Linked DNA regions of Kluyveromyces lactis. The protein of the gene in region 2 interacts with the protein of the main gene of each other region in a pairwise test. Links are inferred from orthologs where the notes say so. Each region holds a gene or a part of one and is shown on either strand. Other genes may lie near its edges.

Evidence for each region.
Region 1: the proteins of BUD27 (region 2) and RPB5 interact in a two-hybrid assay, tested with the Saccharomyces cerevisiae proteins (2 studies listed by BioGRID, with this or other methods). The link is inferred for Kluyveromyces lactis from reciprocal best matches to the Saccharomyces cerevisiae genes BUD27 and RPB5.

Annotation. Positions count from the first base shown.
Region 1 is NC_006042.1:1,968,184-1,971,199, forward strand, and holds RPB5 (DNA-directed RNA polymerase core subunit RPB5), read left to right. Parts: upstream 1-1,394; coding exon 1,395-2,042; downstream 2,043-3,016. Other genes in the region: DUF1 (Duf1p), read left to right, coding at 1-853; RIB7 (2,5-diamino-6-(ribosylamino)-4(3H)-pyrimidinone 5'-phosphate reductase), read right to left, coding at 2,304-3,016. UniProt on the Saccharomyces cerevisiae protein: DNA-dependent RNA polymerases catalyze the transcription of DNA into RNA using the four ribonucleoside triphosphates as substrates.
Region 2 is NC_006042.1:2,339,945-2,344,714, forward strand, and holds BUD27 (prefoldin-like protein), read left to right. Parts: upstream 1-1,441; coding exon 1,442-3,670; downstream 3,671-4,770. Other genes in the region: EPL1 (Epl1p), read right to left, coding at 1-687. UniProt on the Saccharomyces cerevisiae protein: Involved in gene expression controlled by TOR kinase and nutrient signaling. May also be involved in positioning the proximal bud pole signal.

The DNA.
Region 1 (3,016 bases), about 370 kb from region 2:
TGACCTTCATAGTATCTCTTCTACTGGGAATGGTGAAGTGAACTTCAAATTCAATTCAAAGAGTTTTTCCAAAGATCTGTCTGAACGAAAGCCAGGACTTTTCTTGAACGAATATATCGAAGAAGTTTATCACGCTTATTTGAAACAGGCTCCAAACTCCTCATCAACGTTCATGAAGTTTGGGAGGCGGATCCCCGAGACTTTGTTCATCAGAGACTCAACTAGACCCGTGATACAAATCAAGAGTGGATGCATTCTCACGGTCAACCATTGGAAAGAGGGGTCCACAGGGGAAACTATTGCATTTTCCACATATCTCCCACCCCCTACATATACGGCAAACGACTTGATCGATAACTACCATACTTATGAATCATTAGAAAGACATCTCCCGATATGGCTTGGAAAGATTCTTTTCAAAGAGGATAAAGTCATTAAGACGTACCCAAAAATCACATTCATCATCCAGCCTTGGAAGGACGAGGCTCATTTATCGGAGGAAACGCAACAATCGCCAGAGGCTGAAAGACTAGTAGTAGAACATAAAAGATCAGGGTTCCACAAAAAATCTAAACCACCTGAATCACCCTTAATGCTACCGAAGATTAACGATAGCAATGTTAGATTAACAGCTGCAAATATGATAAAGGCAAAAAAGATCAAGACTTACATAGTGGATAGATTCGAATCAAAGACACCTGAGATGAAAAACAAAGAAGATCCAAGCGAATGGTTAGAAATCTTGTGCAAAGGAACAGTACTAGAAAACGATATCACCCTGAGTGCTATACGCACTTTATACTGGAAATCAAACACAGACATTGTTCTTGAATATAGACGTAAACCGACTTAAAATTAAGAGAGACTGTGAGACTAAGTTCTCACCCAGGCTTATCAATATATATATATATAACTAAATATAGACATATATACAAACATAGAACTACACCTGCCGCCCTTGACTCAGAGCATTCCATACCAACACAAGACAGGCACGTGACTGAAATCATGAAGGACGAGTTTGATGGTTTGGCTCTGTTTCCTTCTTTCATCGCATTGAAATTTCGAAGGTTTGTTGAAGTTTTTCTTTTTCTTTTCAGCCAAAATTTTCCAAAATTTAGAAAGCGATGAGAAACAAATCCATTAATTTGTTGATTGAAATTTAAGAAAAGATTGAAGTTAGGTAGCCGAATAGTCCTTGTACCGGTTGAAATTAAGGGGTAAGATTAGTTTGCATATCGATAATTGAGTTCTTAGTACTTGTTTGTGCATATCGATAATTGAGTTCTTAGTACTTGTTTGTGCATTTTAGAATTTAATACGAACTAATCTTCAAGCGGAAAAAGTTAGTTTCATAAGATATCAAAGGCAAGTGACGCACAATTTTTGTAACAATGGATCAAGAGCAGGAGAGAAACATTTCCAGGCTATGGAGAGCTTTTAAAACGGTGAAGGAAATGGTTAGGGACCGTGGATATTTCATTACCCAGGAGGAAATAGATTTGAGTTTAGAAGATTTTAAGGCTAAATACTGTGATTCTATGGGCAAGCCACAACGTAAGATGATGTCTTTCCAGTCCAATCCAACCGAAGAATCAATAGAAAAATTTCCTGAGATGGGTTCATTATGGGTGGAATTCTGTGATGAAGCATCTGTTGGTGTGAAGACGATGAAGAATTTTGTGGTTCATATTACGGAAAAGAACTTCCAAACTGGTATATTCATCTATCAAAGTGGTATTACTCCAAGTGCAAACAAGATTTTACCAACTGCAGCACCAGCAGTCATCGAGACTTTCCCAGAAGCATCTTTGGTTGTCAATATTACACATCACGAACTAGTCCCAAAGCATATCAGGTTAAGTGAGGCTGAAAAGAAGGAATTATTAAAAAGATATAGATTAAAGGAATCTCAATTGCCTAGAATCCAAAGAATGGACCCAGTAGCATTATACCTTGGTTTGAAAAGAGGCGAGGTTATAAAAATTATTAGAAAGTCTGAAACTTCTGGACGTTACGCAAGTTACAGAATCTGTTTATAAGAGCAATTAAAAAGAGCCATTCCCCAACCCTAAGTAAAGTAAATGCGTGTGTATAATAATAGACCAAATTAGAGCAAGAGAAACTAATAGGGCCTTAAACACACTCTTCGTATGAGAACCCATCAGGGGATATCATAATCTAATTACGATTCTTTTTTCAATTATTTAAGGAAATGATTAATCACGTTTTGAACATAGCATGTCTGAATTAAGAGAGTTCATTGATATAAGAATTCGAATTTTTAGGAAAACAGGTAAAGATCAGGAATGGCTCACAAGACGTGAACATAACACGCTATCCCTTGTTCCCTTCCACCAGGAGATATCTTTCAAATTAATTTCAATAAGAGGAGACACTTCAACACCCTCACTACCCAAGAAGGTGGCACCAACGGTGATGACCAGGGCATCGATAAGGTGTGGTCTCTGTAGCAAATCATTGATAACAATCCCACCACCTTCAACCATGATGGATTTTAATCCGAATTGAGATTTCAATTGGATGAACAAATCGTGCCAGTCCACTTTACCTGTAAAATTAGTTTGCATCACTAAATAGTCAACGTTCTCTTCTACAACTTCTGGAAGCTTTTTCACGACTACAATTGGTGCTTTACCATCACCAGAATCAAACAAAGTTTTCATCTTGGAACCCTCAAACTTCCATTTCCCGTTTGGATCTAAAATTATGGGCCTTGGAGAATGTTCAGCAAAATGTTCTGGTTTTGGCTCATCATCTGGCCACCATTTACAGTTCAAACCGGGATCATCAACCAAGACAGTACCACAACCCAACATGATACCGTCAAACTTGTAACGGAGGTAATGGGTCATTGTATTAGTTTCTTGATGAGAGATAATAGTTCTAGTCCCTTTGATCTTCGCAATACGAGCATCCAACGATTGCGCATAAGTTAAAATAACGTACGGCTTTTCCTGTTCGCCCAAAACGCCAGCATTTTCCGGCATGTATG
Region 2 (4,770 bases):
CCTTTTACCTAGAGGTCTTTTATTGTCAAACATTGTCAAGAATGGTTCATCTTCAGGCATCCCAATTTCCTTCGCGAGTTCCTTTTTTACGCCAGAATCACCAACATCGTTTTTCAACATGGTTGGTTTTAGGTCTGCAAATGAAAGTATACTCTCGGGATCCATGGACAGGAAGGGTTGCCTATCTTTGATGGAAGACTCAAAGTTGGCCATAATTAATTCAAACTCATCTTCCGTTAGAGGTTCGACCGAATCCGCCAGGGATTTATTTAAATCTGCCAAAAAGATTTCGTCTTCTTCATCCATATTATACAAAGTACCACAGCAATCTTCTAATTGTGCAGAAAACTGGATATAACTCGTAGGACATTTGAATTCACCTTGGTAAAATCTGTCAAACTCGTCCCAAGTTTTCGAGGCGTCTGGTGTTGGAATAAATAGATCCTTCTTGTTCTCTCGAAGCTGATTGGATTGAAGAATTTTGTATAAATGCTCTTCCTTTTCTTCATTCTTCTCCACACCAGTTTCAATCTCCATCAGCTCTCGCTGTTGATGCTGGGAACTGATGGCCGAAACATCTTCTTGTTCCAAATCCTTAATTTCATGGCTCTTATAGATCCGAAGTCGTTGCTTCACGCTGATCTTTCTGTGCCTGAACCTCGATGAATCCACTGCAGGAGCTGGCATACTGCAATGTGTCAATGCCCGTGTGTAGTTACCCTGATAGCTATGCGGCTGAAGCCAAAGAAGGATCTTTGAATTCCAGATTTCAATAGCGAGAAATATGAAAGGAAGGGTAACTACAATTATCCCTCTAAAAAATTGGTTCTTTTACGGGGGCCCAAATTTATTTTCTTCCTGTTTTCGGGGCCAAATTTTGCGAAAAACTTCACTGGCAAGCAATCGGGTGGCGGTGAAGGAGGCAGAAAACAAGGAGACCAAATCTAAAATAGGACTGAAGATAGCAGCTATTGGTACGGATTTTGCAGAACTGATGAAAGTCCTTAAGTATCACTACTGATGGTTGATTCTCAGTAGGTTTGAACGAGCCACCGGACTGTTCTGAAGCGCGTGGTTTTCCTTTTTATGTTGGTTGTTTGGGTGGAACGCAACAGTTTGTCCGGTGAATGGGGGTATTGGTTTTTTCTATATTGAAATCCGAACTTATGGAAAGAAAAAAAAATTTTTTACGTCTTCTACGGAAATATGAACGTCTCCCATAACCACCTTGGTAGACAATAGGAATTTCTGTTCACGTGACTTCCATTGGGTCAAGGTAAATGGTGATGCCAAAAATTGTATGAGCTTCTACCAAAAAGAAAAAAAAACGGAAATCAGTAACTTGACATCCGTAATGAAGTCATCTCATCGCTTGTTGAAAGAGTGAGTTATCTGAGGCAGGTAAAGAGGCTGAGAAAATCAGTCTTAGTCGTGAAACGCAATGGAAACAGCAGAAGGTGGGGCTTCTTTTGCCGAGTTAATGGATACTGTCAAAGGTACCATAGATAATTTGGTAAACAAAAGAACCTTCTTAAAGGAACAGCAGCCGTTGTATGAACAGATATTCGATAGGATAAGAGATGCTGACACGAGCGAAGATTCGGAAGAAGAATGGCAGTATGGTGAGGTAGTATTTCAGAATGGTAAGTTTTTCCAAAATATAGGTTACGATTACTATTTGGAGAAATCTAGGGAAGAATGCCTGGTTTTTATAAAGGTTCGATTGAACTTAATTGCCGAAGCCATTTCACAATTTGATGAGAAACTGAAAGAGGCACATGGCACATTGCGAAACATGGAGTTACTTCGAGACGGTGCAAAATCTTTGGGAGATACGAATGTTTCTAACAATGATGATGACCAGGAAGGTTTCTTTGAGATCAGAGAAGAATTAGACGAAGACGGAAATGTGATACATGCTTCAATGACGCCCGCCAATAAGGTGCATTCGGGCAAAGGTAATGAAGTCCATAGTGATGAACAACAATTGTCACTGAGTCAGGAACGTCAAAATTGTCTTTCACCAGAGACTGCCTTCAATATTCAGAATGATGATCGCTCTTCCGCTTCAGGAACTTCGGAAACTGGCAATAAGACAGGAGAAATCATGGAAGCAGACAAGAGTACCATGCAAATAGCAAAGGAAAACATGTACACATTCGATGATTTGGTAGATCAGTTAGATAAATTGGATAATTATGAAGATGGCGAAATCGACGTAAATGACGTAGAATACGATTTTGATGGGTATGATGAAGAAAGCGACGATAATGAGGAAGATGAAGATTATTCCGTCTCCATAGTTCCTGAAAGAGTTCAGCATTCCTTTATGGAACAAATACAGGCTTTGAGGGCCAACAAAAAACATGATCTCGTACATACAGAATATCGTAATCATTCCCCTGAGCAAGAAGCTAAGTCCATACTTAAGAAAGGCGGTTCGAAGAAGAAAAGTGTCAACTTTGCGCCAAAGCTAGACGTCTTTGAAGTGGAAAATGTGAAACAGGAAACCAAATCTAACACATTTAATTTCCCTAGAAACAGCTATATGGAGTCAGAAATCATCGCATCTGACGGAGAAGATGTTGAATTTGACCCCGATTTGTTCGCGCAGATGATCGGAGCCAAGGAAGCCGACGTATTGCATGAAAAGTACCAACCTGGTAGCATCAACGGCTTGAAGGAATCTGAAGAGCCAGCACTCGCCGCACCTCGAAAGAAGCGTATCTCAAGGTTTAAAAAGGAAAAAGCCGCCACGGAAAAACGCGAGTTTAATACTAATGATGTTGAAATGTTTGAAAAGGAACCAATTGTAGAGGCTGTGGTAACCGACATAGTTGAGCGTGACGACACATCATCGATTTCAGTTGAAAATACTCCGATTAAAACTGGTTCGCCAAACTTTATTCATAAGAAGATGAAGTCCTTACAAAAACCAAAATCGCTGCCAACTAAGACACCATCAATAATTCCCACTGAAGAAATGAACAAAGATGACAGCGGTGCTGAGGGCGAACAAAACAACTCGTCAATTGCGGAAGTCATGAAGGAGAAGCAAGAACTAGTTGAGCCTCATTTCCCTGCGCAAAAGTCTAATGAAATTCATGTCCAGCCAAGAATCGACTTTGCACAATTGGACAACCTTGATGACATGGCAAGAGCATATCTCCTAGGATTATACGATGACGATGTAGAAGATCCTGGCACAGTATTGCAAGACACTTCTGACTTTGAGGCTTATAACAAGATGGTAGAAACTTTGAAGCCTGAATTAAATCAGTTCTTGAAGGAGAATGCAAGCTATGAATATGACATTGAACTGCCACAAAGTGCAGAATCATCACAGAATAACGAGAGCACTATTATTAACGAAATTAAAGAAAGGGATCCAACGGGCGCTGGAGAACAGCCAGTACAAGACGTTGAGGATCAAATCATATACGCAGAAGTTGAGCGAGAATATATGGAACATCGTCGTCGAAATATTGAAAGATTCGCGGTCGCATCCACCTCATCATCCTCAAACACCGAGCACACCATGGAACTTGAGTTAAATGAAGAGTTAGGTAAAGAACCGATTGATGAATTTGGTAACCCGGTCACGACCAGCCGCTTCAAAGCACAAACGCTTGCTTTGAAGAAACATCATCTATCTCAACAGCATCCATAATATCTGGTATGTAGATATTTCTGTAAAAACTTTGCACGTGATATGAGTTGATAGTTCTGGATTACTTTTAGAGAAGTTTACCACAATTGGTGCCTCTCAATGAAAAGGTGCTCGGACCTTCTTAACACATTTTTTGGGCGGAAAGAAGTTCCATTTTGAACATTTTTACACAGTTACATTGAAATAGCCAAAAAAAAAAAAAAAACGTGACACTCAGCAGCCCGTTCCTGATTCTTGGTTATCTACATTTTCTTCTGTAACTGAGGAATAAAAACCTTGTCTCGAACTACAGAAAATAACGCAGCGTGTTTAAGACAGGTCTGAAGTTTATTTTATACAGAAAATCGAAAAACTCCACAATCAGTCACATCACGTGATTATTCCTGTATATCAAAAACTGAACAGCTTTACAAAACGAAATCACTGTCATTGGTTCGTTTCCTAGCGGACAGTTGCTTGCTCCCTCTGGTACGCATACTAACAGTTTGATATCAGAGAGCTGTATTGGTATATCAACTCAAGTGTCAACTACATCAATCAGGTAATGATGTAACTGTGTCAGTTAAATCCCATCAGCCGCATGACATGAAAAAGCCATTTAGCGGTAGGTAAGCCATATCCTATGGACTGAATAGAAACCTCCCGTCATTACCAACCCGCTTGGAAAAGATTTGTAAAATGATTCCTACTCGTCTCATTTCAGGTGATTTCTCTTTCCCAAGTTGCGTATTTCCTGGTGTCTCAGAATGACTCTCTTTTTTTTTTTTTTTTTTTTGGTCAATAGGATAGTTGTACTTCGATTTCAATGTTTATTTTTCATTCTTTCGTGCATGAAACTTCCTTCCGATGAAGTTCCCCATTCAATACGCCCTGCGCCGTCACGCTCCAAAATGTGTGATTTGTAATGTGCACTTGACTGTATACTCTGCAATCGTTTGCCTCGACTTGTGTCCTGCACTAGTTTCTCTATTCTATTCCACTCAGATTATCAGAAAAACCCAAAATTAAACAGAAACAAGAAGGAAAGAAGTATCATATCAATTTTCTGTGTAATGTAAAAATGTGTCTTCCTCTGGGGTTTTGGAACCTTTGAGACATTA